2 linked regions of the Oryctolagus cuniculus genome follow. The protein of the gene in region 2 binds, or shares a complex with, the protein of the main gene of each other region. Links are inferred from orthologs where the notes say so. Each region holds a gene or a part of one and is shown on either strand. Other genes may lie near its edges. The genes, in order: WDR82 and TOX4.

Region 1 (3,809 bases), on a different chromosome or scaffold from region 2:
AAAAAAAAAAAAAAAAAAAAAAAAAAAAAAAAAACCACTAAGCCGCACTGTACAATGCGATTTGAACTATATTATGGTGTATGCTTACCATCTACCTACCAGGAAAACAGGTTTTCTCCCATATTTAAGAAGACTCTGGGATCCCAGAATAAAACCACTGCTTTCTCCTTTAAGAGGGAGAGATAATACTGACTACTAAAGAAAATGCCCAAAAATTTTATCTGTAAGGTACCATTACCTGGCAGTTAGGAGACCGGAGATCCCAGAGTCGAATGGTCTTATCAAGAGACCCAGAAATGAAAGTGTCATCCACAGGTGACATAGACAAGGCCACCACCCTGCAAAGTATCAAGATAAATAGGAGTTGAGGCAAAACTGGATGTGAACTCTAAACCACTCCACCTACCTATATATACCTGTTGTCCCAAACTGCCATGTTAAGAAATACACATACACAAGCATATCTGGGATAATCAAAGACAACTAGTATAATGAAAAAAGCAACTTAAAGCCTTAGTATAAATATATAAAAAAAAAAAAAGATAGTGGAGAAACGGGAACTCTCATACATTTCTGATGGAAATGTAAAATGGCACAATTGCTCTAGAAAACATTTTTCCAAAAACAGTTATTATGACCCAGAAATTTCACTTCTAGGTATATACTCAAGAGAACTAAAAATGTTCATGCAAAAACATATACCAATAATCATACTATCATTCACAATAGTCAGAGTAAACAAAATCTCAAATGTCTATTAACTAACACATAAAGAAAATATACCCTACAGGGGCTGGTGTTACGGTTCACTGAGTTAATCCACTGCTAGGGATAGCCGCCTCCAATATCGGAGTGCTAGTTTGAGTCCCAGTTGCTCCACTTGCTCCACCTCCAATCCAGCTTCCTGCTATTATACATGTGGGAAGGCAGTGGAAGATGACTGAAGTACTTGGGCCCTTGCCACCCATGAGGGAGACCCAGATGAAGTTTCTGGCTCCTGGCTTTGACCCGGCCCAGGCATGGCTGCTGCAGCCAGTTAGGGATGAAATCAGCAAATGGAAGATCTTTCTCCATCACTCTGCCTTTCAGATAAATAAATAAATAAGCTTTACCACCATCACCCACATATATCTCTCGCCATACAATGCAGTGGAATATTACTTGACAATAAAAAGGAATGAAGTGCTGAGTCATGAGTCAATAAAGAGTAATTTTGGGAACATGCTAAATAAAAGTCAGACACGAAAGGCCTTAGTATGATTCCATTTACAGAGAATGTCTAGAATAGTCAAATCTTTTTCCTTTTTTCAAAGATTTATTTATTTGAAAGGCGGTTAGAGGCAGAGGTATAGAGAGAAATAGAGAGAGAGGTCCTCCATCCACTGGTTCATTTCTGATGGCTACAACAGCTGCAGCTACGCCGTTCTGAAGCCAGGAGCCAGAAGCCTCTTTCGAGTCTCCAACGCGGGTGCAGGGGCCTGAGAACCTGGGCCATTTCCACTGCTTTCCCAGGCCATAGCAGAGACCTGGATGGGAAGTGGAACAGCTGGGACTTGATAGGCGACCATATGGGATACCAGTACTGCAGGTAGCAGCTTTACCCGCTATTCCACAGCATCAGCCCCAATAGGCAAATTTTTAGAGACAGAAAGTAGGTTAGTGTTTGCCAAGGACTTGGGGAGTGACTAATGGACACAAGGTTACTCTTTCGGGTAATGAAAACTTTCTGGAATTACATAGTGCTGACAGCTCCAGAATTCTGTGAATTTACTAAAAACCACTGACCTATATATCTTTTTTTTTTTTTTAAAGATTTATTTATTTGGCCGGCGCCGCGGCTCAATAGGCTAATCCTCCACCTAGCGGCGCCGGATTCTGTCCCGGTTGCCCCTCTTCCAGGCCAGCTCTTTGCTGTGGCCCAGGAGTGCAGTGGAGGATGGCCCAAGTGTTTGGGCCCTGCACCCCATGGGAGACCAGGAGAAGCACCTGGCTCCTGCCATCGGATCAGTGCAGTGTGCCGGCCGCAGCGCGCCAGCCATGGTGGCCATTGGAGGGTGAACCAATGGCAAAAGGAAGACCTTTCTCTCTGTCTCTCTCTTTCTCACTATCCACTCTGTCAAAAAAAAAAAAAAAAAAAAAAAAAAAAAAAAAAAGATTTATTTATTTACTTGAAAGTCAGAGAGTTATACAGAGAGAGAAGGAGAGGCAGAGAGAGAGAGAAAGAGAGAGAGAGGTCTTGCATCTGCTGGTTCACTCCCCAACTGGCCACAACAGCTGGAGCTGCGCCAATCTGAAGCCAGGAGCCAGGAGCTGTATCCAAGTCTCCCACACGGGTGCAGGGGCCCAAGGACTTGGGCCATCTTCCACTGCTTTCCCAGGCCATAGAAAGGAGCTGGATCAGAAGTGGAGAAGCCAGGACTTGAACCGGTGCCCATATGGGATGTGGGCACTGCAGGTGGCGGCTTTACCTGCTACACCAGAGCACCAGCCCCCATATGTCTTTTTTTTTTTTTTTAATTCATTTTATAAATATTTACACAAAAGGCAGAATTAACAAAGAGCAATGGAGAGACAGATCTTCCATCCGCTGGTTCACTCCACAAATGTCTGCAAAGGCTGCAGATGGGCCAGGCTGAAGCCAGGAAGCAGGAGATTCAAACAGGTCTCCCATGTGGATGCAGGGGCCCAAGGACTTGGGCCATCCTCCGCTGCTTTCCCAGGCAGATTAGCAGGGAACTGGATTGGAAGTAGAGCAGCCAGGATTTGAACAGAAGCCCATATGGGATGCCTGTGCTACAGGTGGCAGCTTAACCTGCTATGCCACAGCACCAGCCAAGGATATACCTCTCAACAGGGACAGTTTATGGTATTGAATATTTCTCAATCAGAACAAGATTCCTTAACAAGATGTTTGTGGACTCCATCAATGTTCATCACATGAACACTGTGGCCAAGACGCTAATGTGGCATTAGCATCACCTGAAGGCAAGGTCGAGCTAGGATGATGAGATCCATTCTTAGAGCTTCTAATCCAGTAAGTCTGGGTAGGAGTTAGATCTGAAGATGTGAATTTCTTCTTTTTTTAAAAAGATTTATTTATTTATTTGAAAGGCAAAGTTACAGAGAAAGGGAGAGAGAGATTAATTTTCTATTTGCAGTTACTCTCCAAACGGATTTAACAACCGGGGCTGGGCCAGACTGAAGCCAAGAGCCAGGAGTTTCATCTGGTCTCCCGTGTGGGTACAGGGAACCAAGCTTTGGACCCTCTTCTGCTACTTTTCCCAGGCACATTAGCGGGGAGCTAGATTAGAAGTGGAGCAGCTGGGGCCAGCACTGTGGCTCAGGGAGTTAAAGCATTAAGCCGAAGTTTGCGGTGCCGGCATCCCAAAAGGGCGCCAGTTTGAGTCTTGGCTGCTCCATTTCCAATCCAGCTCCCTGCTAATGACCTGGGAAAGCAGAAGATGGCCCAAGTGCTTGGGCCCCTGCACCATGTGGGAGACCCCGAAGAATCTCCTGGCTCCTGGCTCCAGATCCTGGCTCCGACCACTGTGGCCCTTGAGGAAGTGAACCTGTGGATGGTTCTTCCTCTCTCTTTTTCTCTCTCTCCTTCTCCCTCTCCCAGCCCCTCTGTAAACTCTGCATTTCAAATAAATAATCTTTAAAAAAAAGAAACAAAGAAAAATTCCACACTTGACGTTATGTGATGGATCACAACTAAAACACAGGTATGCTAAAAGTAATCAGGCCTATGTCCTTCAGATAAATATGAACCATGAATGAATTTCCTATTGAGATTCAATGGCCTCCCC
Region 2 (4,585 bases):
AATTGAGACTAAAACTTAGCTATAAGCTTCTTAAGAAGAAAAAAACACTTAATTTCTTTTTTAAAAAAGATTATTTATTTGAAAGTCAGAGTTACACAGAGAGAGGAGAGGAGAGGCAGAGGCAGAGAGAGAGAGAGGTCTTCCATCCGATGGTTCACTCCCCAGATGGCCGCAACGGGCGGAGCTCTACCAATCTGAAGCCAGGATCCAGGAGCTTCTTCCAGGTCTCCCACATGGGTGCAGGGGCCCAAGGACTTGGGCCATCTTTTACTGCTTTCCCAGGCCACAGCAGCCGGGACTAGAACTGGCACCCATATGGGATGCTGGCGCTGCAGGTCAGGGTGTTAACCCGCTGTGCCAAAGTGCCAGCCCCAAAACACTTGGACATGGCTCCATCCTGTAAAGTTTCTTGATAGGGACCAATGCTGTGGCGTAGCAGGTAAAGCTGAAGCCTGCAGTGCCAGCATCTCATATGGGTACCCAGTTTGAGTTCCAGTGCTCTGCTTCCAATCCAGCTCCCTGCTCTTGTGCCTAGGAAGGCAGTGGAAAATGGCCCAAGTGCTTGGGCCCCTGTACCCACGTGGGAGACCTGGAAGAAGCTCTTGGCTCCTGGCTCTGGCTTGGCCCAGCCCTGGCCATTGCAGCCATTTGGGGAGTGAACCAGCAAATAGAAGACTTCTGTCTCTCCTTTTCTCTCTAACTCTGCCTTTCAAATAAATAAATAAATCTTTAAAAAAAAAAAAAAAAGTCATCTTTAGGAAGTTACCTCCTGCTTGCTCAACTTCATAAAAGGATTAAAGGATAAAGCACAATCAATACATTTAACACCCTGGCCTGAGGCACAGGCATCCCATATGGGTGCCGGTTCTAGTCCCAGCTGCTCTTCTTCCAATCCAGCTCTCTGCTATGGCCTGGGGAAGCAGTAGAAGATGGCCCAAGTCCTTGGGCTCCTCCACCCGTGTGGGAGACCCAGAAGTTCTTGGCTCCTGGCTTCAGATCGGTGCATCTCTGGCCATTGCGGCCATCTGGGGAATGAACCATTGGATGGAAGACCTGTCTCTGTGCCTCTCCTCTCTCTGTAACTCTGACTTTCAAATAAAGATAAATAAATCTTTAAAAAAGAAAAAACTATTTGTATTTAATTTTACCATCTGCTTTCTCATGAATGAAGCTAATGTGACCTTTACAACAAATTTAAACTGTGGAGACCTGATTGAGAAGAGATTGGCAATAATACACTCATATAGTTGAGGCTAATGTGAGATTTACAAGACTCCAAATAATGAAATTAAACCAAGGAGACCCTCATTTATGGGAAACTTGTACCAAAACTTTAAAGGCACCAGATAGTACTCTGTCATTCTTATATCTATTGCACATTTGATTTACATGTCCCCCTGGCATAGTAAAAATAGTAACAAAGAAATTAAAGAGTCAGCAACTGTCTCTGGCCAATCTAATTTTTATCCATGAAAATATCAGGATTTATTATAGGATAAAGTCATTTAACAACTGAGAATTCTTAGTAGCAAAAAAAAAAAAAAAGTCTACACCACTTTTGAAAAAAAAATTAAAAAATTAAGAACTTCAAAAGATGGTAGAAGGTTTGCTTCATAGTTCCCCCTCAAAGTCTGGGAAGTTTTTTTTCGTTCTCGCCCCCGACCCTTTTTTTTTTTTGGTCTGGCCTAAGCAACTGATACATATCTACAGTATGGCAATATTTCAACCCAAACGTTTTCACCAACCCTTTAGGACCTCACCAGAAGCATTACTTTTACTTTACAACATCATAAGAAACTATTATTACAGCTATGGGACAGCTGAGGAAACTGTGACATACCCAGGTGAAGTAATGCACAATGTCCTCAGGGGCGCGCGCGCGTGCACGCACAAGTTCTCTAGCAAAGCAAGCTGATACCTTGTTGGTAAAAGTAACTAACTTTTTATCACAGTAGAAAAGTTAAATAACAAAAACGCCACCGCACCCTTCAGCACAGCTCGTGAACACAGGCCCCTGGCTAAGTCCCTGCTAGGTGAGCTTCTCCCCTCACCCGACTTCGTTAGCTGCTGAAAATTCTGCTTCCCATTGTGATCCCCCAGGATCGTCGTGGGTATTTCTCCCACAAAAAGGAGACAGCCCCCCCCCATCTCCCCACCCGGACTCACTCTCCTCCTTAAGCCGGTTCTCGCTTTCCAGCGCCCTGGTTTTCTGGTGACAGCAGCTTCCCCAGGACTTCCCCGGGCAGTCCTGATAGGCTCTAGAAGCAGCTGCCACTTCCCCCCGAACACCAACCGCGCCCCCCGGGTCCCAGCCGGGGTCTCCCAGCGTCCGCACGCCCTTCCCCACCGCCCCACCGCCGCAGGCCCACCCCTCCCGCAGCGTCGGCGGCTCTTGCTCACCTCGGCGCCTGACAGGAAGGGGTGCGAGGGTCCTGTGATCGTCAGGTAATTGTCATTTCCTCCGGGAAACTGGAAACCAAAAGAAAGCCGCGGTGATAAGTTAGGGGGAGCACGGACTTCGCTTGGAGCCCCGGATTCCGATCCCGACATTCTGACAGCACTCCCCAATCCCGGCTGTCTCTCCTCTCCCGTCAGCCGCCTCTCCCTTCCCGCCTCTGCTGCAACCCGATCGGCGGCGCTCTCTCGCCAAGCCTTCTTAGCGCCCGGGCTCCTACCTCCATCTTCACACCACTTTTCTACCACCGTCTCAGACCCCTCATTGCTCCCACCGCCCCCACTGGCCTCGGAACTGCCGTCACTTCCGCAAGGAAGTGCGTCGCTCTCCGCTGACTGGAAGGAGCGTCGTGGGGCTGCGAGTCAGGCGCCGAGCAGATGGAAAAGGTAGATATCGCCCCCTGGAGCGTGGTGGGATAATGGCATGTAGAGGTGCTAGAGGCGTCCCTGGAGGCGGCGTTGACTGCATCGGTCCGGCTGTGGATTTCTGGGGAGAGCAGTAGAGACGTGATCTGGCTAGAGGGGCCGGAGAGGGAAAAACAAGGAGATCGCTAGACTGAGTGGCTAGAGAGGTCGGAGGCAAGTGGATGTAGAAGTCGGGCGGACCCGGAATCCGGAGGAATCGGGACCATGACTTATGCTTATCTCTTCAAGTACATCATCATCGGGGACACAGGTAATCCGCGAGCGGGCCGCCTTCGAAGGCTGAGGCGGGCACCCGAAGCTCCCAAATCGGGCCGCGGGGGCGGGGCTCGCTCAGTGGGTTGGGCGATTCGCGAGGAACGGGCGGGGGCGGGGCGGGGCGGCCGGGGGCGGGGCTCGGGCTCGGGGCGCCCCTTCCCGCGTCCCTGACGCCCGGACTCCGGGAGGTGTTTCTGGGCCGCGGGGCTCCTGGCACGCACGTCCTCCCCTTTCAGGTGTGGGGAAGTCATGTCTCCTCCTGCAGTTTACAGACAAGCGGTTCCAGCCAGTCCACGACCTCACAATAGGTAAGTGCAGCTGTTTGTTCCAGAACCGATCATAAAGCCTTGGCTCGCTGAACTGCCCAGGTGGAAAGCTCAGCTGTCTTCCGTGTCCTCAAGTCAAAAGTTGCCTCTCACCGCTTAAAACTAGTGCGAAGTTAGGTTCAGTGAAGAGTGGTGTAAAGAGGAATAAATAATTGTGAAGGGAAGTCCAGAGATGTGCGAGGTACGGACCGATTCCCATAGGGTGTAAATGTTTATGGGAAATCCAGCGGAAGCCGAGCAGCGTTATTCAAAAGCGCATCTCAGATTTGCGATATATGAGTGCCAGCCTCATACTGTGTGTTTCAGAGTCAACACCAGTACTTGGATTGTGTGTGTGTGTGTGTGTGTGTGGTGGAGAGGACCAAGCGAAGCGAAGAGCCATCCCAGCCTAACAATTAAAAGGCAGATGATGGGCGTTGTTGCGCAGTGGGCTAAGCCGCCACCTGTGACGCTGGCTTCCCATAGGGGCAATGGTTTACGTCCCAGCTGCTTTACTTCCGATCCAGCTCCCTGCTAATGGGCCTGGGAAAGCCCCGCAGGATGGCCCATGTACTTATGCCCCTGCCACTTTCTCTGGAGACCCGGACGGGGTTCTAGGCTCCTGGTTCAGCCTGGCCCAGCTTTGGCTGTTAATGCCATTTTGGGAGTGAACCAGTGGATGGGCGATCACTCTCTAAAAAGAAATAAAAGGCAGTTTGTGGCAAGTTATGGTCTGAAGGCACTTTAACAGACCCTTCCTTCTGATTTACATAACCCTCACCCAAATAAAATATATAGTAAATAATATACATAGTAACATATATAATATGTATAAGCTACATACAGTATATATATATATGTGTGTGTGTGTGTGTAGTTGCCACACAAATGCAGTTTTTTTAAGGTTTATTTATTTGAAAGGCAGAGTTAGAGAGAGGAAGAGACAAAGAAATCTTCCATCTGTTGGTTCACTCTCAAATGCCAGGGCCCAGGAGCTACTTCCTGGTCTCCCATGTGGGTAGCAAGGGCCCAGGTACTTGGACCATCTTCCACTACTTTCTCAGACACATTAGCAGGAAGCTGGATGGGAAGCGGAGCAGCTGAGACTCCAACCAGTACTTACATAGGGTGCTGGCATTGCAAGC

Evidence for each region.
Region 1: TOX4 (region 2) and WDR82 share a complex: the UniProt entries of both Homo sapiens proteins name them as parts of the PNUTS-PP1 phosphatase complex. The link is inferred for Oryctolagus cuniculus from reciprocal best matches to the Homo sapiens genes TOX4 and WDR82.

What each region holds. Positions count from the first base shown.
Region 1 is NC_091441.1:97,455,535-97,459,343, reverse strand, and holds part of WDR82 (WD repeat-containing protein 82), read right to left. Parts: intron 339-3,809; coding exon 239-338; intron 1-238. UniProt on the Homo sapiens protein: Regulatory component of the SET1/COMPASS complex implicated in the tethering of this complex to transcriptional start sites of active genes.
Region 2 is NC_091443.1:53,460,225-53,464,809, forward strand, and holds the start of TOX4 (TOX high mobility group box family member 4), read right to left. Parts: upstream 2,808-4,585; 5' UTR 2,682-2,807; coding exon 2,676-2,681; intron 2,470-2,675; coding exon 2,401-2,469; intron 1-2,400. Other genes in the region: RAB2B (ras-related protein Rab-2B), read left to right, coding at 3,085-3,130, 3,372-3,443. UniProt on the Homo sapiens protein: Transcription factor that modulates cell fate reprogramming from the somatic state to the pluripotent and neuronal fate. In liver, controls the expression of hormone-regulated gluconeogenic genes such as G6PC1 and PCK1.